Linked DNA regions of Astyanax mexicanus. The protein of the gene in region 4 purifies or fractionates together with the protein of the main gene of each other region. This does not show direct contact. Links are inferred from orthologs where the notes say so. Each region holds a gene or a part of one and is shown on either strand. Other genes may lie near its edges.

Region 1 (7,371 bases), on a different chromosome or scaffold from region 4:
ACCCAACTGCCTCATTTTACATTACAATTACAGACCTGTATTACATATCTCTGAACAGTTAACACCCCTCACCCCCCACCACATATACATGTATCCACCCACCCATCCCCCCCAGATTCAAGCCGCTAAATGTACTCAGCAGGCCCACTGTAAATTAGGAAAATAGGTGTTTCTTACATTTACTCTGACTTTTATTTGAATGCAGGCAGTATGAAGATATTTAATGTTTTACTTGCTCAACTTTCTGTTTCATTAATTAGTATACATCAATTCCTGCATTTCAGGCCTCCAACACATTCCAATAAATTCCAAAAAAAGACAGAAAAGCATTTACCCCTTCTTAATGGTGTAATTTATTTTCCATAACACTTAAAATACATTTGAGGACTAAGAATAATTTCCACACATTTCCTCCTTTTGGGGACAGGATAGGTCAGGACTGCAGGCAGGCCAGTCTAGTACCCGTACCCTCTTCTTCCACGGCCATGCCTTTGTAATGAGTGCATCATGTGGTTTTACATTGTCTTGTTGAAAAAAAAAAAAAAAAAAAACCTTGGAACCTTGTCATTAATGCTGCAATCACAGAAATATACTACTACAACCCCCTTACCATGACAGACTCTGACCTGCTGCTGATAACAGATTTGCTGATACAGGCATGTAAATTCCTCTCAAAGTCCAATATACAGCTCTGAAAAAATTAAGAGACCAGAGGGATAAATTTTAAGTAAAATGAACATTGTTGTTTTATTCTAGAAACTATTTAAACATGTCTCCCAATTTCCAAAAAAAAATATTGTCATTGACAGCTTTTTTTTAGAAAAATGGCTGAAATAACAAAAAAGATGCAGAGCTTTCAGACCACAAACAATGCAAAAGAAAACAAGTTCATATTCATAAAGTTTTAAAAGTTCAGAAATCAATATTTGGTGGAATAACCCTGGTCTTTAATTACAGTTTCCATGCATCTTGGCATGTTCTCCTCCACCAGTCTTGCACACTGCTTTTGTATAACTTTATACCACTCCTGGTGCAAAAATTAAGCAGTTCAACTTAGTTTGATGGCCTGTGATCATCCATGTTCCTCTTGATTATAATCTCGAGGTTTTCAGTTTGAAACTCATCAATTTTATGTGGTTTCTTATTTTTTTAGAGCTGTATATTGTATATTTCTGATGACCATTTGTTTGACCACAAGGAGAGATGATACCATTTAAAACAGTACAGACGGAAACACGATATTAACGCTGATATTCAGAGCCGGACGTGACGACACAGCGACTGTGAAAAAGGTCTATTAAACTTTAGTTTATAAAGCTAGCTTTAGCTAGTTAGCCTTCTGTTTATTGAGCTGAAATGCTAGCTAACTGCTGTCTATACCATGACAAGGTCAGGGGGCGTATTTTCCCCTTTTATTAAAGAAAAAAGAGACGGTTATAACCACAGTATTATGATTAGCTAACTAGCTAGCTAGCTAGGTTAACTAGGTTATTTAGTGTGTAAAGCATTAAGGCATCAAGGCAGCATTTCCTGCGTTTCAGATACACCCAAACGTGCCATGACTGGCTGACTGTAGGTTAGTTAGTATCTGGGCTCTGATTCTGGACTGAAAAGACTGAGCTTTAGTGTATTAGCTTTATATAGCTTTGAATAGAGAAGCACTCACCCCGGTTCTTTCTCCCGGAGCTGCCGCTGCCCCGCCGCCCCGCTGACCCGTCGTCCTCGCGCTGCTCTGCGTCTCCGTCAGTTAGTCAGCTGGCGCCTGCAGGCAGCCCCTCTGTAGCAGCTCCGCTGTAGTGTTGTGCTGTGTGCACGAGCGCGCCCTTTATTTGTTTTTAAAGAACTAGCTACAACATTTGGTCCCCCACCCCATCTCTTCACCCCGACCCCCCCATCTTCCTCTAAAAGCCCGTATGTGCAAGCATGTGTGCTCCACTGCTGCAGCTCGAGCACTACTCTTCTAACACGTGCAAATGAGCAGGACAAATGAAGCATTCACACACGCTTTCACACCTTTACGCACATACTCACACCTGCACACACCTTTACGCACATACTCACACTTGCACACATTTTTACGCACATACTAAACACTTGCACACACCTTTACGCACATGCACATGCAGACCCTCACACCTGTGAACGCCTGTCCAGCTGTGCACTCGGTCTGGACGCCCTCCGGCTCACTTCTACACACACAAATGGTGTGAAAACAATCACATTCATTACTCTGTAGGTAGAGGTATAGATACTAGGGTTAATACTACTGTACAATTTTAAGTATCAACTCAAGCTAAAATTCGGAAATTGAATCAACGTTAATTTGATGTTTTTTGAGTGGTTGTGCTCTTCTACGCACAATTAACATTAATAATAGTTATTATTTACAATTTGTCTGCTTTGTTTACACACATTTTCCAAAAGCATACCTCATTCTCTCAGTACTCTACACACAAATCAAGCAAACACATACACAACAGGCATAACCTTTCAATTCTCTCGCAAAATACAATTTTACATTCAACACAATGTTATCTCTTCTAATAATGGTGTTTTGTGTTCAGATGACACATACAAACCATAATAGGAATATACATTTATAAGAATCAGTTAAACACTGATAAGCTCAATGTAAAACATTATGATGAATAAAAACACTTCTCTATTCACAATAATGACATTTTTTTAAAACATTGTTTTTATACTCAGAACACACAGTACACAGTAAAAATCTATATTTTATAAAATATCTATTTTATTTTCCCATAAAAACAAGGTACACAGTGTACATCCCAACCAACATACAGTTGCATGTACAGTGGTCTACATACAAATACAAAAGCAAAATAATAATTTACTGTATACAGTTACTGTACAGCCATGAAAAGAAATTGTACAACTAATACAATACTGTAAAAACTGTGTAGGAACACAAAGTTTGAATACATTTTCCAAATAATTGAAACATACTTTCTGTCCTACAGAACAGTCGAATACAAACACCCAACATGTTATTAACCCAACAAGTCATTACACCACTGTTATAACATAGTTAACACTTTACTATGTTCTGTATAACACTGATATAATACAGTTATAAACAAGAAAACTCCAGAAACTCCTTCAAGATGCTAAGAAAACTATTCGAGGTGACTCTCCCTTATGGGGACACTGAGATTAAGTGTGCAGATCTGTCCTCAAACATTTTTTTTTACTAAATTTTTACTTTTGATTATTTTAATTTGAACACAAAACATTTCTGTATGTGTTTCTGTATAGCTTTGATGTCTTTAAAATAAAAAAGTAAAAATCATAAAAAGAAAGAAAACACCTGGTACTGTAATGGTGTAATAAATTCTTTACAAGCTGCTGTAAAACACAGATATAATTATGTAATAAACTTTATACAGTGCTTATTTTGTGCCACTGTTTAAAGTTTAGTAACATCTCTACAATGCACCACAATTTAACTTCCAAACAACATCTAAACTAGGGGACATAAATGGAGCTAAATACAGGGCAAACATGGAAGAAAATCTGCTGGAGACTGAAGACTGTCCACCAAGACACTTATGTGCATTGTGTTGGTCTATCACTGAAAATCTCAATAAAAGACATTTAAGTTTGTGGTTATAAGATGACAAAATGTGAAAAAGTTCAAGGGGTATGAATACTTTTGGAAGCCACTGTATGAGTATATGTTTTATGTTTTTTAAGTTACATATTTATATATTTTTGTGTTAATGTATTTGTATTTTTATGCTATTTAAGATGTACTAAAAATATCCCTATACATAAAAAATAAATATATTAAAAAATGTCTATAATAAAAAACTTTGTTTCCTGTACAGGATATTAAAGTTAGTAAATTGTTAGTTAAATGTTTCTGATCGCCGTTTTTAGCGGAAAAAATTAAAAATAAAAGTTTTGTTAAACACTGGAGACTTTTATCGTTTGTTTTTGATCCTTCTCTCAAATCTCGCGGGATCTGTGGCTTATGAGCGCAGATCTCGCGATAGCAGTGTTGTGTTGGTGGCGGCCTCCGCGGCGCTTCACCGTGACTTGTGTTCCTGAGCAGCAGCCTCTCATACTTGAATGAAAAGCGGCGAGAGAGCGCTCGTTACCCCGCTGCAGAGTCATGGCTTCCGCGCTGGAGCAGTTCGTGAATAATGTGCGGCAGCTGTCTGCACAAGGTACGCACCCGTTCGGAGAGATGGAGCGAGTTTAGCCAGGTCTGCTAGCGGCGGCGGACGAGGCTTAATCGAACTATCCGTTCCACCTTAAATAGCGAGGCTGTAGACTGCATCTACATTCTCGCGCCTCGATTCCGGACTGTAACTGCCGCCACATTTAAGGTGGAATGGAGAATTCGAACTAGCAGCTTCTTGGTCTCACTTCACTTATTTCCACACTCTTTAACTAACCTTTAACTAAACACACATGTAATTTGAACCGCCTTTAAACTCTTCTTAAACCACCAAACGCAAACAAATGTTGATTTAACCCGAATTCCCCTCGCTTTTGTGTTTATAAACACAGCTAGCTAGATAGCTAATGCTACTGCTAGTTATGTCTATTAGGTGCTAGCTGACTGACTAGCCAAACACAGTGAGTGCAGCTAACTTTAGCGCACCTTAGCGCTTTAACTGGCTCACAGACTCTCAGAGAAACTTGGTAAATAATAGATTAGCTACATTAGACAAGTGTTTGAGATATTATTAGACAAGTTAAGTGTTTTAATTTGAGACAAATAAGCTGCTTTACTGAGTTAGATAACCTATCCATTAGATTAGGGCTGGACGATATGACTGAAATGTCATATCACGATATGGTCAAGATATATCGAAATCCTTAACAGAATATAATGTATATATAGTTCATGTATAATGTGTTTTCTTTCTGTTAATGATTTTTTGACATTGTAAATTTAATATAGAAGAATATTGATTACAGGAACACACGCAGAATTATTTTGCAATCAAAGTGTTAAACAAACCAGAATATCATTATATATATATATATATATATATATATATATATAATTATATCAGTATATTGGTTATACAACATATGCTGATGTATGTATTGTGTGCTGGAATAGGACCAAGTAACACTGGCCGTGCTACGTTAAAATACTATTTAAAATGCTATTTTATTTTACTTTGTTTAGTGCATCGCATTTACAAATAATTTATAAGTATACACTGACTTTGGAGACGACCAATTTTTAATAATGAACATTATTGATTAGTTGACTAATCATTGCATCCATAATTTGCAACAATGTAAACGTTGAGCTAGATATTTTGAGCTGTAAATATGAGTGTTACTAAGTAACCTATAAAACTGCTTATAAGACTGCTTCGAAAAGCAATACATATATTATGACTTATTCTATATTTACATGTTCCTGTTTCTGTATTTAATTATGTTCTTATTATTAACTGATTTTAAGATTTAATATATTCACACTTCAGTTTAGTAGTTAATTTTAGTGAAGCATCTGCTCGATGGTGAACATTACATCCATAATTATACATTATACCATTTTATTCCTGATTCATGTCTGATCCTTTGTTTTTACCACTGTGTTATGTTCTCTAGTTGTAATTAACGCATTTTATGAAGCCTGCAGCAGTGAGGAGCATTTTACAAAGCTCTTTACACTCCAGATGTGTGTGTTCTGTATGTAAACACACTCCCACCACATTCTTATTCTGCTTTAGAAACTAAACTACGGTTAAATGTTTTTTTTTGTTTTTTTTTTTTTTTTACAAGCAGAAAATCCACACTCTTTTATTTTTACTTTAAAGTGACACTTTAAGGACTGGCCACAAACAACCCACCCCACATACATACACACACACACACACACACACACACACACACTTTAGCTGTCTTGTTTAGAGCTCTGTGTAACTGATTCTGTTATCAAATATATCTGTCTCGTCTTTCTGTCTGTCACTCTTAGGTCAGATGACTCAGCTATGTGAGCTGATCAACAAGAGTGGAGAGCTGCTGGCCAAGAACCTCTCCCACCTAGACACGGTGCTGGGAGCGTTGGACATCCAGGAGCACTCTCTGGGCGTGCTGGCTGTGCTGTGAGTGCTGTTCCAGGATCAGTGCAGACTGATTTATTAAGTGCTAAATCTGAAGCTAAGCATCCCCTTCTTTTTAAGATGCTATTAATCATACATGGACCCTGGTGTCAAAGATAAATTATTATTATAAACCGAGTCTTTACTAAAGTAAAACTAGTATTTAAAACCAAATTGAATTTGTTTGAATCTGTAATGCAATTACAACAGTGTTCCCAGCACATTTAGAGAATTGCCCACACCCATTGCAATTTCTCAAAGGGCGTGTTAATGAGCTAATTAGCTGATTCAGGTGTGTTAGGAGAAGGTAAAATTTGCATGATTGGGAAACCTGTAAACTAGGGGTGGGAATCTGCGATGCGGTTATAAAACAATTATTAATGCATCCTAATGCATTTTCTTCTTCTATACAGGATTTCTTTGTTTTATTGCATGACTGCTTGGTCATTTTAAAGTAAAGAATTTGTAATGATCCATAATAAATCCCACTTTTTAGTAGGCTCTTTGACACCATTTTTATTTACTTAAAAAAACATAGTTATTTCCTTTGATCAGATGATAGGATTAATGTTGTTAGGGTAATGGTTAGGCAAGCTTCAGCCACAATATTAAACCAGGAAAATAGAAACAAGAAGGTGATTATAATGTTATGACTTATGCTTGTTTTAATATTGTGTCTGATATGTGTTGGATTTGCATATGAATAAAATGTAAAGTATGTAACAGAAAGTTACACATTATAATAGACTTTGTAATATTTATATATACATAAGAATGGGATCCCAGATTGGCTTACCTAATAATTAAATTCAAATAAATTTGAGTTTTTCTTCTAATAATAATAATAATACCACAAGGACAACAATATTAATAATTATAATGGTAAGCACAAGCATCATTTGTTTAAAGTTATTAAACAACGTTTAAAATATTTAAAATGTAGAGAAAAATGAAATGGAAATTAATATAGTGTTATTTAAAGCAGATTTATATATAAATAAAGTGCTTTAGCTATATTTAAGAAAAATAATTACGCAGTTCCTAGTTCTGCCTTTTGCATCCTGTTATCTTTACGCTTTTTGATATAGCGTGTAGAAAAGCGATTTTTGAATTGAATTGATTCAGTATTGTATACGTCTAAATCAAGACATATCTAAGAATCAGAAATTTCCCCACCCCTACTGGAAACCCTGAGTTTGAGCAAGTTATGTTTTTGAGTGTGATTGTTTCTGTAGTAGCTGCTCATTCGCAGGAACTGTTCTACAGAGGCTTC
Region 2 (7,722 bases), about 13 Mb from region 4:
GGCTAGAAAAATGTGTAACATGAATAGCACCGCTGAAATAAATTCCTGATTAGAATAGCACAGCTCAGGTAGATGTATGGTGCGTTGTTGGTACAGTATGTGTACTGGGATATTAAAAGTTTAGAATTAAATTAACATTTTTAAATGTTTTTTTGGGGGGGTTTTGTTCTTTTAAAATCAGACCAAAATACATTTAGGATATTTTATCCTTTGGCCAAATGTTTCATTTTGGTCAGTTTTTAATTTCGGTGCGTCCTTCCTTCAGTTGGTTCCATTAAAGTTCCATTTCAACATGTTTTTTTTTTTATGAGAACATTAGTATCAATAAATGTCTGCTAATTTCGACCCAAAATCCACATATAGCCTTAGATCCATGACATCTCATGTTCTCTCACCTTTGACCCACAAGTCCTCTGCCAGTTCCTCAGCAATCGCTGCCACTCCTCTGTCCCCGATTAGGATATTGTCATTAAGTGTGATTCTGCGTAGCCCACTCATCGCCTCAAACTCTGCCTTTCTGTACCGTAGAGACTCCGCCCATGCTGTGCCATGACGCCTCACTGCTTGATGCTGCTCGAAACAAGCCAATAATATAAAATTGACAGATATATACATATCTATCCATATGTAAAAAACGAATATACAACAACCAAGAAACATAATGCAGCACTTTTGCTTTAAATAAAATCTTCAAAATCATTGTGATTTTCCAGTGACTTGTAATAGAGGAAATTGTGTCTCTATCATTTCCACTCCAGGCTGTAATTCTATTTTTGTACTTTCTGAAACTTTAGTTGAGCTGCATGAGACCTTTATAATGATGCTTAGTCATATTTGTGTAAAATCTTATAATATTATTCCTTGCCACAGACCTTACTGTATTATTTCATTTCAGTAGCCAGCCTTCAGCTTGTCAACAAATACATGTGTACAGTTGTCAATGAGGTAGAGCGCAGAGAGTGATTTGTATTTACTGCAGTGGTGTAAAAGTATATTATTCTCTGCAACTATAAGGAGAGCCCCAGGAGTAAACAAAGACAATTTTTTCAAATAAAGACCTTTTTTTAATTAAAGACCAATTTTCACAAAATCTTAACACCATGATTTTTTTTCTGGATTTTTTTATTTATTTCCAGTCTAATCCCATACATCACACCGGTAAACAGACCTTAACTTACCTTGATTATGTTTGCCATGTGCGCCGCACCCTGCCAGGTAATATTACAAGATGTAAAATCCACAGTCCTGATTGTCGAGGAGTACTTAACACTCTGACAGATAACTGAAAGCACAAAGAAACAATACAGATGTCCTATTATAAACAAAACTAAAGTTAAAGCATTCTGATGATGCTCAAGGATCATTCTAATTTACTTACCTTCAAGCCCATCATCTGCAATAGGGCAGCGTGCCAAAGACAGGTGCTCTAAGGAGGCACTTTTAGACAAACCCTGATCAGAAAACAGAACCAAAGAATCAGCATGCATTGTTCTTATTTCACAATAAACCTTTTGTCTTTTGGTGCCTTTTCTCTACCTTTGTGAGTATGTTGAGGTCTTTCTCTCTTAACGGAAGCCCATGAAGCTGGAGGGTCTTTAGACTGGGTGAAGCACACAAGCATCTCTGCACAGCTTTGCAGAGCTGAAGGGTCATACTCTTGGAATGGATCGCTGGGGTCTTCTTTCTGCTGGTAGCCTTGCTGGAAGAAGCTGAAAGGTGTGAAACCATCAGCTGAGCAAAAATACATACTGTCCACTTTTCAAAAACAGTGTGTTATCCATAATATGTTGGTTGATTCACATATAGCATATCCTGCTGAAAAGCATGGCCAAATTCAAATGTCTTATTTATGTAGTTATGGAATCCAACAGATTTTAATGCATATTTCCCTTTTTTTACAGTTGTTACAAAGAATCCTAAATAAAACCAAACAAAGTTAATTATTTGGTCAATTAATAATATTGAATACCAAACAAGTTTTTGCAGTTTTGCAGTTTTTGCAGTTTTAAAGTGGTCACTTTTTTCCAGCGCTGTATATTTATATTGGTGTACTACTGAGCTAATATCCTAACTATGGGATAGTGTTTGAATAGCAGTTGTAAACAGTTCGTTTGTGGATCAAAATACTGTGGTAGGTTCTGTACATCCGGAAAATGTCCTTAAATATAATGATATAAATATTCTAACCATATCACACACTCCTATGCACAGTACCTAGCATTAACAGTACATCATTTTAACTAGAAGGACTCACCCTGTGATCCCAGTGTGCTGAGATAGGAGCTCCTGATGGTCACAGTGTGTAAATGCTTGTTTATGACCAGAGATGAGAGTATAGGCGTCCAGTCTGAGAGACTGATAACATCTCCATTAAAGTCCAAAACTCCTTGACTTAAGCTGGACTTGACTGCGGGCACTGGAGCCGAGCCTTGAGCAGCACAAGCTGAATCATAGCAGGCAGCAAAGTCCTGAGCTCCTCTGCGCCTCGACTGAGCAGAGCCCAGCATCTCTACACATCTAACTAACTAACCTAGCTTAGCTTAGCTAACTAACCTGGACAACTAAATTTACCCGAGGAGAAACTGGCCTACAGCTACAGCAGCTAACCTAGCTATAGCGCTTTAACGCTGTAGATAGTTAGTTAACCTAACTAGCTAACTAGCTAGCGTAGTTATACAGTAATTACTCACAGCTATAGCGTTGGCTAGCTAGTTAAGCTAATAGTCTCAGTCTTCGCCACTGTAAAGCTGACTATCTAACTATGCTAACTAACCTACTTTACTGTAGATGGTCGAATCTGTCAAAATAAACCAATGCACTAAGCTAGTTATGTTAGCTAGCTAACTAGCTGGTTGCTGATTACTAGCCTAACAGCGGCCACTGTTCAGCTCAGATCCGATCTAAAGAGCGTCTACAGATGTTGCTCTAATTTAACTGAATTAATCGCCCGCAGGAAGGTTTTTGGAGCCGTTTTTGGAGCCAGTTAGCAATACTGGTGCCGTTATCTCCGCTGTTTGTTGTTGCTGTATCCCCACCAACCGCCTCCAGGGAGAGAGAGGGAGGGAGGGTGCAGGTTGGTGTAGAAGTGGATCCGCGGCTGCTGTTTGAAAACATGAACACCTCGTTCTTCAGGGAGAAGAGGAGAGAGCTACAGCAGCTCCTACCGCCGGCTAGCGGACAGGAGAACTACACACACAGCCTGTGTCTGAATTAATCCACATGAATCAAGCGATTCTGCCTATTCAGTAAGGATTCTGAGGCAGAAAGGCGCCCAGGTCAAGACTGAATTGAAGTTAAGTTATCTTAGCCTTCGATTTTGAGCAAGTCTCACCCTACAAAGACTTAAGACTTGAGCAAGTCTCACACCATTAAGACTTAAAACCTGACCAAGTCTCACACCACACAGACTTGAGACTTTACCAAGTCTCACCACATATACTCAAGATTTGTTCAACTCTCACCCCACATATACTCAAGATTTGTTCAACTCTCACCCCACAAATACTCAAGATTTGTTCAACACCACCCCACCTATACTCAAGATTTGTTTAACTCTCACCCAAAAAAGACTTTAGACTCGACTAGACTCGTGACAAAAGACTTGTCCAGGTCTCACCTCACAAAGACTTGAGACCTAACCAAGTTTCACCCTACATACTCAAGATTTGTTCAACTCTCACCCCATAAATACTCAAGATTTGTTCAACTCTCACCCCATAAATACACAAGATTTGTTTAACTCTCACCCCACAAATACTCAAGATTTGTTTAACTCTCACCCCACAATCACTCAAGACTTGACTTGGACTCGTGACCAAAGACTTGAGACCTAACCAAGTCTCACACCACAAAGACCTAAGACTTGACCAAGTCTCACCCTACACACTCAAGATTTGTTCAACTCTCACCCCTCAAATACTAAAGACTTGACTTGGACTCGTGACCAAAGACTTGTCAAGGTCTCACCCCACAAAGACTTCAGACTTGACTAAGTCTCACCCAACAAAGAATTGAGACTTGACTTGGACTCGTGACCAAAGACTTGAAACTTATACTTGCAAAAAAGACTTGTGAGCATCTCTTGTCTTAAACGCATGAAATGTTGACTGGCTGTCTTGCTGCCCACACTGTCTCACTCAGAAGGCAGTTATTGATCGTAATAAAGATCACTGTTTTCCAATATATGCAATATGTGCAGATGTTGCTTATGAATTATTTTAGCTATTCTCATACAAATATCAAGCTTTTTAAACTACTCTATCATCTTGGGAAAGCTACTCTTTAAATGTCTGAAGACACTTGCTGCATGTTCAACAATTTTATTTAATATTTCCCATCATATTGTGGTAAACAGTTAAAAATATTTGCATAATTGAAAATAAAAAGTAAAGTTAAAATATGATTTTTTTTTTGTAGTCAAAAGCCTTAACTATAAGAAACTTTATTAGGGCAACCATATAAAAATAAGGGAGGGCCTATGTCAACATAAATGGTATATATAGAATATATTGTTGGAATATAGTAAAAGAAACCCTGTCAATAGAGGTGTTTTTTTTATTATACTTGTAATACATTACCAGAGTAACTCTTCAAATAATGTAAAAAATGTTTTTTAATATACCAAATGTCTTAAAATATCCCCAAATGGGAATATATCAAATATTCCCAAATGTGGATATTTATTTACATTAATATATTTAAACAAACATTGAAACTGTGCACAATTCAAGTCAACAAAAGGCTTTTGGATAAACAATTACCAACAAATAAAATGATATACCTGTAATTCAAATAACTAGGTAAAAAAAAAAAACAATTACTGAAATAAAAATCATTTTGACCCAATCTAACTGTCACGCACATCACACTTAAAAGACACAATTGATGTAAAAAAAAGAGTTTTTTTGATTAGAAATCTCTTCTCAAATCAGCAAATTGGTGACATTCATTTTAAATTCATTTTTCAATTTAATGAAATAAATTCATTTTCACAGGAACTGCTTGACAACGAAAAACAAAGAAGACTCTCCAGGCCTTTCTTAGTATGTTCCAAGTATGTTTTAATCGCCTTTTCATTGTAATTGAAAAATAATCTAACCAAATGAGGCCTTGCTGAATTCTTTTAGAATTGTGCCCTGGTTTCATAACATGGAAATTAGAGGCTGCGCTCTTATTTACTTTCAATCTGTTCTTCAGAAAAATCTACTTTTACTTGGAAAGCAGTTGCAAATCTGTGCCTTGCTGTTTTGAATGAAACCAGAGTTGAATCATAGTCTTAACAGGCCCCTATGCACAATCATCCTTAAAGGCACCCTCTCCCTCATCAAGCTCACCAAACACCAAACTATTACATAACAATACAAAACAGGTTTGAAACAAAAAAAGTCTTTAAAATATTGATTAAATTATTAAAGAATGCCATACCTTTTGCATATGTCACTTTTTGTATTTTTCCTTTCTTCAATATGCTAACCTAAAATATAAATAAATAAATAAAGTAAACATAGCATCACTTTTTACTTAGCAACGCATTTGTCCTAAAGAGTATAAAAATGAGTTTATCATGCTTTTGTTGAATTATCTGTCTCTGCTGTATAGGGAAGAACTTTTTTTCTAGATTGCGGAACATAATGGTGAGGATTTGATTGCATTCAGACACAATAGTATTAGTATGGAAAGGATGTTGGATGAAAACCACCACACCTCAACCCCCCAATTCATCTCCAAAATATTAGATACATCATCATCATTTTAAAGAATACAGCCTGTATTAAGTATAGAGGTATGGTCAATTGGTACCGCTCCAGTCTGCTCCAGGAGAGTCCTATCCTATTGGCAGTACTTTTCAACAAAGACTGGACAAGCTGTGTGTGCATTTCTGTGTGTTCATTTCATTCACATATGTGTCAGCAATGGGTGCACTTTATAGAAGAAATCAAGTGTGAAATGGACTTTGGGTGTAGTGACAAGTATGAACTTTTGTCTAATGGCCCATTTCCATTTGCCCTCAGCATTCCAAAATTCAGTGCTTTTAGCTGATGCTACCAACAGGCCTATAATACTAGCGATAGGTGCATAGAAGAAAATGAAATGAATTTACACCATTAACCCTCCTGTTATGTTAATTTGTCAGGAACAGCAATGGTGTCTGAAACCAAAAAAAATCCTAACATGCAGTGTGAATATTTCATTACCAACTCCATTGTGAATTATTCTAGCAATATTAAGTGCAATGGTCTTCTTTACCTAATAGTTCAATTAGGATAATTCATTCATTTTTCGTAAAAAAAATCATTTTTTTTATGTTTTACTACATTATTAATTTTGAAAAACCAACATACAAAACACAACAGTTTTACATAACATTGAAACATAATATTGCACTTTTGTTTTAGTTTTTGCAGGGGGTGGTTGCAAATATGTGAGATGAACCATTTTCATATTATATGTTGATTACACTGATTATGGCAAGCAGAAGAAGTTTCATACTGAAAAAATACTTTTAACTATTTTTCCTAGATCCTCAACTTTAAAATGTGTCATATTGACCTGTAACATAACAGGAGGGTTAACAAGCTCAAGGTAGCTCCACACTTCATTGGTAGAATTCAGAGGGTCCTGACATTTAAAACGAGGCACTGAGAAATTTAAAAGTGCACAGATAGTTTATTAAAATTACTGTTTTTTCACACCATACTTTAAGGTGGGTGTGCTAAATAATATTCATGCTTTCCATGAAATTAATTTCGCAATCTGTTCTCTTATCCTACCTATTCTTCTGTGCTCATTAGTAGACTTATTGTGACTTGATTTCAAGATGGTCCAGAGAACTACCTCAAGATACTGTGTGTATAAACAGTGTTTTTAATAAATAGCCTATTATTAAGCTACTCTAAGCTTGTAACAATGTTCATTTTACTCAAACATATACCTATAAACAGCAAAATCAGTGAAATTAATTTAGAAATTGGAGTGGTCTCTTAATTGTTTCCAGAGCTGTAAATGATTGTGTATGTGTAAAAAAAATAGAACCCAGGCTGATTCCTAGACAGGTGCTGCTTTTTTCCAACCATATTAATACAAACCCTCCCCATCTGCGCTGTGATTGGCTGACATGAGTTACCAAACTGTCAGCCTATCCAATTGCAGCGAAGATAAGCCTGTAAGCGTGAAATCTTGACCAATTGATGCGTAAGGGGCGGGGCTTGCCCGAATGCGGGTGGAGATAAGGGATGGGCACGAGGCGAGTTTTAAAGGCGGGAGGCACCAGGATGCCCACTTAGTCCGTTGGTCTTCATCTTCGATAGCTAAAGGGAGTAAAGCAGAAACTGAGGGGAAACAGGTGGAAACTTGATCTTATGATGTTAGAAAACACACTTCCCTTCAGAAATAGGACATTTTTTCGTAATTTAAAGTGAAAAAAGTTAAAGACCGACGAGACGCCACTGTGAGGAGTTTTTTACAGGACTGCATAGCTTTTAGAAGCGAAAAGCGACCGTTACAATTAGCTTACGCTAACGCAGCTAGGTTAGCTAGTCAGTTAACGCAAATTTTACCTCAGAAACGGACACCGCGTTTGTGGTTTTCAGCAGAAAATTCAAAGTCTTGCGGGGAAAGCGGGAGACCATGGCTGGGTGTTGCATGTCAGCGGAGGAGAAAGAGTGTCAGAGGATTAATCAGGAGATAGACAAACAGCTTCGACGAGATAAGAAGGACTCTAGA
Region 3 (7,283 bases), on a different chromosome or scaffold from region 4:
TGGATGAGACCCAAATAACAATATGTCTAAAGAGCCCTGTAACGTTATTAGCCCTCACTAAAACAATGCTGAGCAGAAGTGTCAGCAGAAGGAAAGGGAAAAACAACACAGCCTGTGTTTGGAGCTTCTCAGACAGCCCCACTGACTCATCCCCTAAAGATCAGATGTTCCCTGAGAGAGAGAGCGAGGACAGGCAGAGGGAACAAACAGAGAGGAGGCCTTGAGAAAGCAGGCTTGCGATCACCTATAGAAAGAAAAACAAATCACATTATGAACTGAACCATTATGTCATACAAATAGGTTACGCCCTTTGGTCCAATAAAGCAGAGTCAGCACATCAATGCCTTTATAACGACATGACGTGTTTCTGAAATGGTGACTTTTTATGAGAATAGGTTTAAATTTTTATTTTTTAAATTAATTTCTATAATATTTATATATATACAACAGTTAAACTCTGTGTTGTATATGTGGTTAATCTGTGACAGGAACAGTGAAGGGACAAGCTGTGTAAAATGATGATATTGTTGTTATGTAGCGGAATGTAAACATTGGTTAATGTTACAATGAAGCTACAATTTTATTATGTTTTAAATGTTAAAAATCATCAGGAATGGTTTTCTCTAGGGCTGCAACGATTAGTCGATATAATCGACAGTATCAATTATTTAAATTTGTTGACTACAAATGTCATTGTTGACTAATCATTAATTTGTAACATTACCACATTACACAAAGCGCTGGAGACAGAAGCTCAATGGTTTACAAACAACTAAGTCTGTGTCTCCTAAAATGCCCAAACTCAACAGATTACATATTTAATCACTTAATATTACTAATTTCCATGTTTTAACAACAACTAGACATTTAAATGCCATGTTCAGCTGTTTCTATTCTATGTTTTTAGAGATAGAGGACATGGCAGACATAATCGTTGACTAATCGACTGATCAAAAAAATAACCATCAGATTAGTCGACTACCAGAATCGTTAGTTTTCACATCATAAAACTAATCTTTAAATCTTTGGCATTGTATATAATTTATGTGGACAAAAGTATCGGGACGTCTGACCAATTCATTCGCGTTTTTCCTGGAATCAACAGTATTTAAAAAAAGTTTATCTACAGCCCATGGTAGGTTTTCTAGTAGATTTTAAAGCATTGCTTGATTATTTGATTAGTCAGAATATTGGATGATTCCCAACCTCATCCCAAGAATATTGGTTGGAGCACAATCATTTCAGAGAACACTGCACCTCTGCTCCACAGCTCAGTGCCTGGGAGGCCTGGCATTAGGCAAGGTGCCAATAGGGCTATGTTCTGACGAGTCTTTTCTTTTTGCAATACTGCTGTACAGTATATATAGGAATAGAGTAGCTTTGTGTGTGTGTGTGTGTGTGTGTGTGTGTGCATTTACACATCATTTAAACGGCAATGTATACTATGTACCTAACATGAATTTGAATGGTTTGGACTCTGGTTTGGCCTATTTGGTGTAAAAACTAACCATATTTATGAATTATTTAGTTTGCAAAACAGTAATAATGTATTTAATTAGGGATTATTTGACTGTATAACACTATCTGGGTATTGAGTGGAGTACTCCACAGCATCTAACACCTACTTCAGCATGTCTATCACAACTATGCATGTCCATTCACAGCTTTTAGGCTGTTTGGCAGTTTCACACACTGATGTGCCTCAGTGAAAAGGTTTCGGTCAGACCCTTGCTGATAGCCCATTATCACAAGCTACAGGGCAATGATGTGAGGCTGACATGGGCTCAGTTATTACGTGTGCTGGTGGAAATGGCTCACTGGGCTATCGTGGCTCAATTCCTCACATATTTCCTGGACATACTTCTTAGTAACCGCGGTGACAAATGCCGTGACAACCGTCCCAGCATGTTTTGCTCCCAGCTGAACGCAGTCTGACACACGGACCAACATGTGGCCTCTTGTTGGAATAGTGAGGAGCTGTATGTGATGACTGCCCTGCCATTCTCACAGGACTGCATTGTACATGTCTACATATCTCTAGTTGGTGCCAGAAGATATATAGATATCTCTGCAGCAACCCACTGCCCACTGGTGTATTTGGACCATAGACTTTAGTTACCTCATAAACCTGAAGCACCTTCTATCTCAAAAGGCTCTTATAGACGTTGTTGTGCAAAAAGTATGTCTCTACTGTACATTTTTACTTTTGTTCACTTTTTGAAACTTAGTAAAGAACAACTGCCAGATTCACACTGTGTCAAAGCTGCAGTGAATAACTATATATGATTAATTTAAGATTTTTTGGTCAGAAATCTGTTATTTTTCCTTCATGAATTAAGAAATATAAGTCAAAATAAAACACACTTTACTCTTTTAAGTAAAGTTTTTTAGTAAAATAGAAAGAATAACTGATTTCTTACATAATTTTCGATATATTGTCCCTTTGCAAGGGATCATGATAAATAGATTTATGCTCCAAACTCACTTAAAATAAAATGTGTTTACACTGACTTTAATTAAAAATTAAATACGTTCTCACTTCTCCTGTAAGGTTGCCACTAAGCTATGATGTATTTAACATACTTTGATAAAGTTTATGCACCATTCACTCTTGTTAATTCATTTACTCCATTTATTGAAATTAAGCTATAAAATAGACAATCATGAATTTACTGCATTTGTGATGTCATAAAAATAAACAATATCTGAAAATTCAGGCTAAAAAGTAATTATGCCTATTTTGCACATTTGCCTACACAAAAATCAGTTGAGAGCCTTAAGGGAAAAACTAAACAATGGCAACATTAATGACAACAAAATGCAGATACGTTCATAAAAGTAAAAGCAAGACACATCCAAAAGTTTGCAATTTCAGTTGCATTTATTACTGTGATATAACTTGTGTAAGAACAGACAAGACAATGGATTTCAGTGTTCCATTCAGTGTCTGAAAGTCCCAGTTACAGCACTTGTGTGCACTGATGCTGTCAGTGATTTTTTTTGTATATACACTCCAAGACATGAAGACAGGGAAAGCCTAAGAAGCAGGCCTGAAGCTTGAGCTTCTCTCCACCCTCTAGTGGACAGTGATTACATGCATGCATGTGGCAGTTTTAATGTCCAGGCTGGACTAAACTGTGGAAATAACCCGGGGTACACGTGTGTGTAAATTACATATCTGGAGATGTGGAGCCTAGATGTTTCTGCAAGTCTGCAAGAAATGTAAACATACATTGACGTCTGGAAATATGCCTGGTTTTGTCCCTGGGAAAAAAGCAGGACAAACTACTCTCATGAGTTTTTTGCACTGCTAGCATTATTACTGTTTTAAGCATATACACAGCTCTGGAAAAAATAAATGAGGCCACTTCAGTTTCTGAATCAGTTTGTCAGATTTTGCTCTTTATAGGTATATGTTTGAGTAAAATTAACAGTGTTGTTTTATTCTATACACTACAGAAATAACAAAAGAGATGCAGAGCTTTCAGACCTCAAATAATGCAAAAACAAGTTCATATTCATAAAGTTTTAAGAGTTCAGAAATCAATATTTGGTGGAATAACCCTGGTTTTTGGTCCCAATTTTCAAGCATCTTGGCATGTTCTCCTCCGCCAGTTTTATACACTGCTTTTGGATAACTTTATGCCACGCCTGGTGCAAAAATTCAAGCAGTTTAGCTTGATTTGGTGGCTTGTCATTATCCATTTTCCTCTTGATTATATTCCAGTGTTTTTCAAATAGGTAAAATCAAAGAAACTCAACATTTTAAGTGTTTTTTTTTCAGAGCTGTATAAACACTCACTGCAGCATGCCTAGCTCAGCTCATCTGTGTGTGATCACAGAGTGTGTTAATGTGAGCCACCTTAAAAAAAAAAACTGCACCCACTATACTTGACTATGTTAACTAGGTTAATAGCTGGCATGCTAACTACGTCCCTGCTGCACTCCGGCTGGGGGCTGAGGGCTGAGGGTGGGGGAAGGTGAATAGGACGATAGATAAGCCAGGCAACACCCATACAGCGCTCACTCACTCACTGACAGAGCTTTCCCCAAAGAGAGCCGCCCGGTAGAGGAGGCGGCGTGAACTAACATGCGGCGGGGAACTTCGAGGCGTGAGGCTGAGGGTGCAGCAGTGTGGAGCCGCGGCTCTGGCAGGGCGTCTCTTCCGAGCGATGGTAACCCAACTTGGGCTTGTGTTTGAGGAAGCTGCGCCCGTTGAGAATGCGAGACTGGATGTAGCTGATTGGAGTAGCAGAGTTGGTGGTGATCGCCCAGCGGAGGGGGAGGAGTGGGTTTTTCGAGTGGGTTTTTTTCCCTGTGTGTGACTCTCCAGCGGCCATGTTAACCAAGAAGCCCTGCGCTGCTGTCTACCCGACTGGTAAGGAGGCTAAAGTCCGGATTCGGGGAGGCGAAAAGCCATAACGGTAGTGAAACGCGGACACCCGGTTAGCTGAATGGCCGCACTGCACGCTGGACTGTTTATACGGATTTATAGCTAACGCTGTGGCTGTTAAAGCCGGGCAGTTTCTCTGCGTTTGATTTGCCTCTCTGTTGGAGAATGAGGTGGTAGATTAAAGACTACTGTAACCTAACTAGCTAGCTAACTAGCTTATTAGCTGGCTGTGCGGTGTAGCCATGCTCCGTCTTGAGCAGTGGAAGGCTGTTTAAAATTTTTATTGTATTTTTGTATATCAGTCAAAGACGTTGAATAATCAGCGAATGGTAGCTAGGTTAGTTAGCTTAGCCTGCTAGCTAACTGGTAACCAAACGTTTAGAACGAGAGCCGTAGCATAATTTACCCTATCTATCTTAACTATGCTAACCTAGCAAGCTCACTGTCTGTTAGTGCTGTTTCTATACGTAAAGGAGGCTAACGATAAATAATGTACATTTTCGTTTGTTAGGTCCTTTTAAAACGATTTTCTGTGATACTTACAAATCTCACTGTCCTGCCATTCATTTCTTTATTAAATAAACATAGAAGTTAAATAGTAAGCTGTTATTTAAATGCATCCAGATTTTACCCTGTTGATTGGTTTAGCTAAGCTAAGCTACATAACGTAGGTCACTGTAACGTTTAACGCTAGCTATCAGTTTAATTTTCTCGCTATATTAGCTAGAAAACTGTTTGTAAAACGTAATTATTGCCATTTGTCCTATTTACTAGCTAAAAAGATAAGTTTTAGTCATTTTTGTAGCTAACCTTGTCTTTATTTCCGCCTTTTAAAATTATTATTTTTTTAATTCATGGAGAATGAATAAATGCATATATAGCTAAGTTACTAAATTCTCTTATTTTTATTTATTTTCATCATGTAACATAAGCTTGGCTAGGTAGTAGGTTGAATTATATCATTAAATTGGACGAGAGAAAATATTTTTTTAGTAAATTCAGGATGTGGTTTAGATATTAAAAAAATAATAGACATTTTCTCTTCGCTAAATAAAAAGAAAACAATTAAATAATTAAGTTTTACACCCTTCATTTCTATTTTAGGCTCGAACTGTCTAAAAATTAACTGATAAACGGTAACGTTACACTGACCATATAGCCACTCTGAATCTGTGTAGGTTACTGAATCTGTGGTTTATGGTTATTAGCCTATGACACACAGCCAGCCAGCGCCTCAGTCGAGTTAAATGCTGTTTTTAACTAGATTTTAAGCTAGATATCTAGCTAAATATTGTGTTTTTGCATTGTAGGCAAGGGGGGTGAAATTTGCCAGCAGCAGCAGTCTTCCCCCGGGATCAGCGTCGGGGCTCTCCGGGCAGGGACTGATCCGACATCGCCCGTCACTTTACCTCCTCTCAGGAACACCAACTCGCTTACGGTACGACAAAACACTGCATGTTACACCACAGTGATTTACAGTCATTTCCTAACCGGATTTTTATCCTAGTGAGCCCAGAAGAATGTTTTAACACTTGGTCTTTAAAGAGCCAGCATGTCCGAAAACCTACCGTTTACAAGTAACGTTACAGTGTATTCCACTACAAATTACAAGATACAGCTACTGCATAATACTGCTGTAATAACATTGTTGTAACCTAACAGTTTGGACACTTACTATAGCTTATAACTACCTACAATTCCTGGTGTGGTGCATTGTAGTACACTATGGTAAGATATAGTAAGAGTGTACCTTTCAAATAAGATTTGGTGCAAATGCTTGAATATATGTTCAAAATACCTTGCTATCTGTAGCTAATGCAGATCACACATCATTGTACAATGACTTGGAAATAATGCACTGATCTGGCACAGATCTCTAATAAACTATCATGTGCACATCTCTCAATTCCAATACACTTAGCTATATAAGCACTGGTGATTAGTCCACTTTGATTAGCATTCTGAAGGATTACAAATGCAGTTTTAGCACAGTAGGCCAGCTTCACTTAACCACCCTGCATATATTGTCATGACTTTAATATCAGTTTGTTTTTGCATACTGCACTAAATCCAATAAAACATGGCTATAAAATGTTTGATGCTCTTTTGAAATTGCTCATGCAGTTGGTCAACCTTAAAGTATGAGTAGTATCCATGATATGCAAAGAAAATATATTATAATGTTATATTATAATTCTAGTATTATCTTGGCGCTTTGGAATATAAACCACCTTTAAACCTTATTATTCTTACTGTTGGACACACAGTGCACTGTTTATATATGCATATAGACATTATTTCATGATCATTATAGTGTAATTCCTACAAATTAGTCATTTGAGATTCAGTCTCTGTTTAATTGCTGAATGCTGAGCAAGCAGTTTGGGTGTGCATGGGTGTTATGTGAGGTGTAAGTTCCAGTTTTGGTTGTGAGGCGTGTGCTTCTGCTGCTTGCTTGCTTTACTCAGTGACCTCATCTCGACTTGGGCTATTAGTGTAGATCTGGTTAGTGTGGGGAACAGCCTGCCTCAGGAACCGGGTGGAAGCCAAATACAGTGATTATAAATACAAGCCATGAGGGCTCTCGCAGAATCTGACGGAGAAATAGAGATAGGGGCTCATGCTGTGTGGTCTGTTTGTATAACATGTACCTGGGCTAGGTTTAGTATTTTGCAAAACGTGCATTAATACCGATGTGAATAGTAGGTTTGTTTACTGTCACTGGTAAACACAGGGGCTCGACACAATTAGCCACAGGCTAGCACACTGTGTGGGGAGCTGTGGAGCTGGGTGCCAGTGGTGGGGGATGGGGAGAGAAAACCAGTTGCTTGTAGGCTTATGCTTAACGGTAATCTAAGCAGGCCTTCTACTTGCCTGTTGGCTTATATGA
Region 4 (7,657 bases):
TATAGCAAGAACTAGTAGAATTTATTAACCTGGTTAGTGAAGTTAGCAAGTTTAAACAGATACAATATCACATATTGTGTGATAGATATTTATCAGTGTTTTTGATTAGTCGTAATGGGTCATAATCATGAAAAACAAGGTTTTAAAAATTCCACAGTTACGTTTCTTATCCAGTAAAATAGAAAAACTGAGCCTGGAGCGGTTGAGAATTTGGAACGTGGCGAGAAGATTGTATATCCACAACTGACGGACATTAAAAAGACAAAAAAAAGAGAGAGAGAGAGAGAAAATGTTAACAGAAGACCTTAAAAACATAAGAATGTATCTTTACTTCCCGCCTTTACCACAGTGTTGCAAGCACAGGCCTTAGACACAGACATTAGACTGAAGACTTTATTCATTTACGTGTGTGAATACGCTTGCCACTCCTTTTTGAATCTCTGTAATGTTGAATGGTGTTTTAACTGTTTCTTCTGTGAACACTGGTCACATGCAGGTGAACCCTCTTACAGCCTACTACGATACAGGATAAAGGGAACTAGTCCCGATCAAAGAAATGTGTGAAATGTGTGAAAGTTTTTTTTCTTTTTTTTAAATTACTTGGGAATAGAGTGGCGACTGATACAAAGAACGTACACTAAACACTGATGCCTTGTGCTGCTGTCTCACTGAATGTATTGGTGAGGGTTGCAGGGTTCAGGAGCACTGCTCCTAATGCCTACATCTCACTCCAAGTCTTACTCAAGCTGAGCTAAGATGTGCAGACTTTGCCTAGTCTCTTTATGTGGGTCACTGTCTCCTGTAATACTCCTGTAATTTTTCACCCCAACCTTTCCCGCTTCTGACACTTCAGTGGCTGAAACGTCACAACGCTTCTTCCATAATGTATGAAAATGAATTGAGTCAAACCAAAATCAAATGATAAAATGACGTCAAATGTGTGCCAAAACAATCAAGTTTCCCAAATAGAGTATGCTCTTAAAGATGAACACTATAATTGGAATGGACTTCCAAGCACTTCCAGGTGGAGCAACAGTCTAAGTGCTATGTTCAAAAGCATAAGTGGCCTTGACGTAACAGAATAGGCCATTAGTGTTCTCCTCCAAGTGTGTTGAGCTGTCCAGTTCTTTAAGCATATGCGTAACTGGCTTGGCATGACCCTGAGGTAGCAATCTAGCTTTTACCCTCTTAATTTATGTGTATTTTAGGGGCTAAATACCTAAGTACCCTCAAAAATGCTACTTCACAATTGCAAAAACTGAAATCACAAGAAAATAACCATTTAAACACATTTATCTTTAAGAGTGTATAATTTCCATTAAACCAAATCCACCAAATTTCATTCCAGTATCCAGCAACCAAGGATATAATCAGACAACTCGCTTCTTGTCTGGTTGTAAATTTGGGAGAATTCCACAAGTCATCTGATTTTTGACACCAAATATGAGCACTGCTTGTGCACAAACGGTACTATACAGTAAACTGTATACTGCTGACACCATCTCGCCTCATTTCTGTATCCATACGTGGCATTGATCTGCTTTATTTACAGACAATGTACCGCTCAGGCCCACCCGTACCCCACACTGCTCTGCTACTCTCCCTGCTTTTCTTTTTTAGCGGGGCGAAACGCTGACGTCCCCTGCGCTCGAAGCAGATTGGACAACTGTTCCAGAAACATCTGAATCGTACATTATCGCGTCTCTCTTATCTCTCTTTTTTTCCAATATGTAATCATTCTTTGCGTACGGAATAAACGTACCTGTTTTTATTCTTTTTCTTTGCCATTTGTCAGTTTACCAAATTAATTTATTTATAACAATGTGTATTTATTTGTTTGTATTTTTTATTTTTGTACATTTTTGTTTTTATGAGGGGCTCACGTTCTCGCAGAAAGATGCCTCAGCTGTAAACGATTGAAGGGATGTGTGTGTGTGTGTGTGTGTGTGCGTGTGTGTGTGTGTGTGTGTGTGTGTGTGTGTGTGTGTGTGTGTTTGTGTGGGTGTGCGTGTGTGCGTGTATGTGTGTGTGTATGACTGCCACCTGGCTAAAGCATGTGAAAGCTTATGGACCAATGAACAAGGGTCAGTTGTGGTCAGTGCGGTTACTTGTATTTCCAGAGTAAAGCAGTGACCTAGGCCGACAGCTCTACCATGTTCCCAGAGCGTCACGGCTGAGATGTGAACGATGCCCCAGCGTTCCATGTCCTTTGCTTACTACTCTTTACTTGAATCGAGGTATTTATTGATGTTGTTCGAGAAAAGGCTGGGTGTGAGGAGCAGATCTGTGTTCTGTTCATTAAGGTGAAATGGTCAGATGTACAGATCAATCTGAAAGCACTCAAATCAAACTGACCTGATTTTTCTCTGATTTTTCTTTTTTTGAACTTTTTTTTTTTTAAGTTTGTAAATAAAACTGAATCATGGTAAATACATATTTTGTTTGTTGTTTGTATGTTTGTTTACTTATCCAAATCAGTGTCTGGTAGACACCCACCTGAAGGCCAGGCATATTTCAACAAGACAATGCAAAACCACAAGCCAAACAAATGAAAAATGTATGTATGTGAAAGAAGAGGTTAAAATACGTTGATAAATGAACACCTGAAACAATTCATTGCTACATTATAGTCCGGTACCACTTTAAAATAAGACTACCTTTATAAAGGGTTTATAAATGTTTTACAATTAGTTTATTAATGGTTAATAATTAAGTTGTACATGCCTTAAAAGTCATTAATAATCTGTTACAACACATACGTAAAAGGACAACAATGACCTGTTTTTTGTCCAATAGTGAACTCACAGCCATCTATATTGTTGCCCTTTCTACGTATGTGTTATAACTGATTATTAATGATTTTTAAGGCATTTACAACCTAATTAGTAACTATTAATAAACTAATTGTAAACATTTATAAACCCTTTATGAAGGTAGTCTTATTTTAAAGTGGTACCCAAAGTTCTAACTTGGAATGTGTTCCTGAAGGCCTAAAGTGCAGAAATGGATGATGTACAGTACAGGCCAGAAGGTTTGGGAACACCTTATCTTTTTCAATGTGTTTTCTTTATTTTCAAGACTATTTACATTGTAGATTCTCACTGAAGGCATCAAAACTATGAATAAACACATTTAACTTTTTTATTTAACAAAAAAGTTAAATAACTAAAAAAAATTATATTCTATTTTCTTAAAAATAGAATGTTGCACTGTTAGCACTGCTGAATGTGCTAAGATCGATGTAGAACATTATTAACATTAACTAATTAAGACACTAAAAATTAGTTTAAAATCATTAAAGGTTGTTAACGTACACTTGACTTGGCTGTACTAATTGTACCCATTCTAAGTCTAAGGGCGTTTTCACACCTGTAGTTGGTTTCTCTGGTCCGAATCAGTTAATGAGTTTGTTTACTTGGAGCGTTTTCTTGCTCTGTTCAGTCTGGTTTCACACAGGCATAAATGTAAACGCACCAAAATGCGCATCAATAAACCACGCGAGCAGCCTGTGTCCTCTGATTGGTCAGAACTGTCTGACACGGGAGTACGTTAAATATAAATATACGAAAAAGTAAATACAGCGAGAAGATCTTGTGTTCCAGCACAAAATCTGTGCTTTAACACTGAACGCTGAAACGCTGCACTTTCAAACACAGTGTTTCTACGTGCAGCACAGATTTATACATAATAAACAGAGTCACGCGACTGTGAGCAGTGAATGCAGCGCAGATTTATACATAATAAACAGAGCAGTGAATGCAGCGCGTGCATGGACACAGTGTTTGTTCACAGCTGTGGTAATTAGTGTTATCTGGCTAATATATCAGTTTAAACTGTGCTTGCTTTATCAGCAGTTTAGCTCAAATAAATGGCTTATATTTAATAGCTGGATCCGATCGAGACCGGATCACGTTCTCACCACAAGCGAACCGCTCCAGAGTTCGTTTGTTACCGGACCGAGACCACCTCCTCTAGCTGGTCTCGGTCCGGTTCTTTTGATCCGCACCCGAGTGCGATTACTGTTTTCACACCGGCTCAATCGAACCGCACTAAAGTTACAAACGGACCAGAGTTCGTTTTAACCGGACCAAATAGTGCTGGTGTGAAAACGCCCTAAGTGTAATTAGTTTCATGTGTGCATTCACTGTGGAGCTCTACCTCACTCTACCTTTAGCCCAGTTTTGTCACCACAGGCTGCAAATGTAAAGCGCTAGTTCCCTCTGTTGCTGCATATGGGTAACGTAGCTTATGTTTGCTGTTATTCAAGGTGTTATAGCAGCTTTTTTATCACATTATCACAATAATAATGGAAATACGTAATCATTTATCATACGTCCATATTAGAAAAATGAACCCATACCTATAGCCAAGAGCTAGTAGTAAGTAGCGAGTGTTCTTTATTAAGAGAGAGTAAGTAAGTCAAGTAATGTGTGAGGTGAACCATCTCAGACCTACTGTAGCTCCTGTATCTCCACACCCTCTCCCACAGCAGCTTCAGCTGAGTGATTAAGATTATCTCTGAACTCCAGCTCTCACTAGTCAACAATGTTGAGCTTTACTCTGCGGGACTCTATGGGACTCCAGCTCTCACTACAATTACAGCAAACCTTAGAAAATGATATTACGGATACGATTCCGGCCTCCCAGAAGACCAGGTGAGCTCAGTCTGTCTGTCTGTCTGTCTTATACTGTTTATTCAGTTTTATTCTAACAGCCGAACCGACACCTAGGGTTGGCACCATTCAGAAATGAAAATAAGGGATGCCCACCGCAGCAAAAAAATCCTGTAAAGTAAAAATATAAATATATAATTATAAATTTGATTTGATATTTATAAACTAAATAAATGTTTAACATTTTAACATTCTCTTTTAGATTTTATAAATTGATATATACATTTCTATAAAAATATAAACATTTTGAGACAAAATATACAGAAAGCTCTACAAACCTTTTTTTTACTAGGAATTTTTATTTTAATCTGTTAGTATGAATTGCTCCTTAAATTAATATAGAAAATATTTATATTGTATAATATTACTGTATATTAAACATATTATCATTCATTTAACTTTACCTTAAAATCTTAAACAATCTATCAAATGTTCCATGCACTGATATCTTCGGGCGGTTCTGCTGATCCGGTTCTGTTCATTTAAACAGGCGAACCGATTCACACAGACTCCAGATCCACATTAAAAAATGTTATTTATTACAGGGATGGTTCAAAACATTTTGCACCCAAGGATGAAAATAAAATAGTAGCTTTTATAGATTTATTTTGAGCTTGAAACAGTTAAATTAATAAAATAGGTATACGTAACAATAATAAATGAATTAATCAGAAATAAATTGACCCATACTTTTTATCCGCTGTCTTATCTATGCTTTATTAATTTTATCAATGATGTTTTGTAAATAAATGTAATGTATTTCTTTCCTAACCTCACTGGAAACTAAGAACATGCGCATTCACACGACACGTCAACCAACGAGTCTTTGAATCAGTTGATTCAATATGACAAAGAATCGGTTCAGTATACAGGCTGTATTCAAAATGACTCTGCGTCCTCTGTAGGGTAAATATGTAGTGTACTTTATTATGTGTACTTTTTTATTTGTTATTAAATTACAGCTTTAGCATGCAAATATTGCAACATATATTTTAATATAGCCAGTAGTTAAAGAACTTTTAATTGACATTGTACATGTGTAAAATATATAGATATCACAATACAACGGTATGTAGCCACAAATAAAGAAAGAATGTTTTTTTTTTTTTTCAAAAGTTGTGGAAACGTTTTATTAAGCTGTAGAAACGAGATACTTAAGTCCTGGCCATATACATTTTCCCCATGACTTTCCCCACGAATTATCTCATTCCCAACCCTTATTAAGTCATCCGCAAAATGTAATTATCATGTTCCCAGGTTTTCATAAGTCGTGACCACACATTATTATTTATTTTTTTGACATGGTGTTACCAAAGGGGCTCTTTTAATTTCACAATATTTTATTTTATAAAACATAATGAAGATAGAAATTTGACATAAGTCACTTTCCACTAAAATTGACATCATTAAAGTTGACAAGAACATGGGGACAGACATAAAATAATTTTAATGACTAAAACTAGATATAATATGAAAAAATATACTATATAGAATTGATTTGAACTGTTAATAGAGTAATTGCAAAAAAATAATAATTTGTCGAATTCAAGTTGTATATATATATAAGCACCTGGAGACAGTCTAATGCAACTAATGTGATGGCAGTGGCAGTCTTTAGTTCATCATTTGTGCATAAACTGTGCCACAAATACATATTATTTTAATTATATTATATTTAATTATGTAATTTTAAGTGTTTATCTGGGATATTTGAGACTTTTACATCTTTATTACAAACTACATATTCAAAAAACTAGAGCAAAGCTTAGCAAATTTTAGTTTAAAGATGTTTAATTATTTATATATTGAAATATGCCTTTATTTTCTCATCACTGAACAATTTTGTTTCAGTGTTGCATATATAATTTTTTAACTCCAGTTATGGTTAGAAATTTTGAACCCAAGTCCCGCATCAGCACACAAACCAATCAGCGCACAGTAGTAGCAAAAACGCTACCGGCTTTACTGCCTAAACTCCGTTTAGGGTAGAAAAATAAAAACGTATAAGTAATAATTTTCTGCTTTTTCCTTTGCTTTATAAAATTCAAGGAAAAACCTGAACAAGTAGTTTTTATTTACTTATGCTTTTAGCCATTTAGCTCCATTCACCCCAATTTATTCTGGTCTCTCTCGCGGGCTACCTCTTGCGGTTGACATCTTTTCTGATATAACAGGGAGAGGAGACAGGTTCTGCATTAACTGGTGTTCTGTCGAGTTGTGCTACCCATCGACATGTGCTACTTAGTGGCTCTGAAACTCTAATTTTCACTGTTTTGTGTAGTATTTTTTCATGATATATTTTTTATCGGGTGCATTGTACAATCTGCCTCACAGTCATCGTTTACTTGAGTGTTACAACCGTGTAAAAAAGTAATTAAAATATGATTAAAAAATACATATACATACATTTTAATCACCCTATATTGCCTTTCATTTATCCTGATGCAGCGATTTAGGCTATGCTTAATATCATACCGACACTTCTACTGCATGCAGCATGTTCTAATAGGTTGTATTATTACAGTAAAACACACACTAGGGTAGCACGGTTTGACAGGGTAGCACAACTCGACAGAACACCGTCTCTGCTCAAACATCGCTGTTTTTTAAGGCGTCGCGAGAGCCGACCAATCCGCGGCCTGTGTTCACCGCGCAAACGAAAACAACGCCTGCATCATTAAAGGCCGACAGCGGTCGCCCGTACCGTGACGCCGGGAACGTGGTCGCCATGATCAGCTTCATGCTCGCGGCTGTGTGGAGGTAAACGGTCTGACAAAGCCGCGCTCAGAGCCCGAGAGAGAGCCAGAGCGGAGCCGCGGCGCCGCAGCGCTCAGCCCGCCTGACTGCAGCCGCCCGGGTACAGCGGGAGTGAAGGGAGCCGGGCGCGGGACTGGGGCAGGACTGAGGTGAGCCCCGCTGGCTAACGTACAGGCAGCACGCTAAGCTAAGTGGTTAGCTCAGTTAGCATGTGGCTAGGCTTCTGC

The links.
Region 1: the proteins of DDB1- and CUL4-associated factor 1 (region 4) and cops3 purify together in Homo sapiens (affinity purification with mass spectrometry; 5 studies listed by BioGRID, with this or other methods). This does not show direct contact. The link is inferred for Astyanax mexicanus from reciprocal best matches to the Homo sapiens genes DCAF1 and COPS3.
Region 2: the proteins of DDB1- and CUL4-associated factor 1 (region 4) and cep78 purify together in Homo sapiens (affinity purification with western blotting; 3 studies listed by BioGRID, with this or other methods). This does not show direct contact. The link is inferred for Astyanax mexicanus from reciprocal best matches to the Homo sapiens genes DCAF1 and CEP78.
Region 3: the proteins of DDB1- and CUL4-associated factor 1 (region 4) and dyrk2 purify together in Homo sapiens (affinity purification with western blotting; 5 studies listed by BioGRID and IntAct, with this or other methods). This does not show direct contact. The link is inferred for Astyanax mexicanus from reciprocal best matches to the Homo sapiens genes DCAF1 and DYRK2.

Annotation. Positions count from the first base shown.
Region 1 is NC_064422.1:7,821,687-7,829,057, forward strand, and holds the start of cops3 (COP9 signalosome complex subunit 3), read left to right. Parts: upstream 1-4,011; 5' UTR 4,012-4,138; coding exon 4,139-4,193; intron 4,194-5,971; coding exon 5,972-6,101; intron 6,102-7,371. UniProt on the Homo sapiens protein: Component of the COP9 signalosome complex (CSN), a complex involved in various cellular and developmental processes.
Region 2 is NC_064419.1:22,911,254-22,918,975, reverse strand, and holds the start of cep78 (centrosomal protein of 78 kDa), read right to left. Parts: upstream 3,212-7,722; 5' UTR 2,508-3,211; coding exon 2,255-2,507; intron 1,710-2,254; coding exon 1,537-1,709; intron 1,452-1,536; coding exon 1,379-1,451; intron 1,283-1,378; coding exon 1,179-1,282; intron 571-1,178; coding exon 396-570; intron 1-395. Other genes in the region: gna14a (guanine nucleotide-binding protein subunit alpha-14), read left to right, coding at 7,627-7,722. UniProt on the Homo sapiens protein: Centriole wall protein that localizes to mature centrioles and regulates centriole and cilia biogenesis. Involved in centrosome duplication: required for efficient PLK4 centrosomal localization and PLK4-induced overduplication of centrioles.
Region 3 is NC_064409.1:11,632,453-11,639,735, forward strand, and holds the start of dyrk2 (dual specificity tyrosine-phosphorylation-regulated kinase 2), read left to right. Parts: upstream 1-4,006; 5' UTR 4,007-4,338; coding exon 4,339-4,378; exon of another isoform or gene 4,379-4,445; intron 4,446-4,463; exon of another isoform or gene 4,464-4,563; intron 4,564-5,703; coding exon 5,704-5,831; intron 5,832-7,283. UniProt on the Homo sapiens protein: Serine/threonine-protein kinase involved in the regulation of the mitotic cell cycle, cell proliferation, apoptosis, organization of the cytoskeleton and neurite outgrowth. Functions in part via its role in ubiquitin-dependent proteasomal protein degradation.
Region 4 is NC_064419.1:10,125,642-10,133,298, reverse strand, and holds the start of DDB1- and CUL4-associated factor 1, read left to right. Parts: upstream 1-4,558; 5' UTR 4,559-4,615; coding exon 4,616-4,655; intron 4,656-7,351; exon of another isoform or gene 7,352-7,579; intron 7,580-7,657. UniProt on the Homo sapiens protein: Acts both as a substrate recognition component of E3 ubiquitin-protein ligase complexes and as an atypical serine/threonine-protein kinase, playing key roles in various processes such as cell cycle, telomerase regulation and histone modification.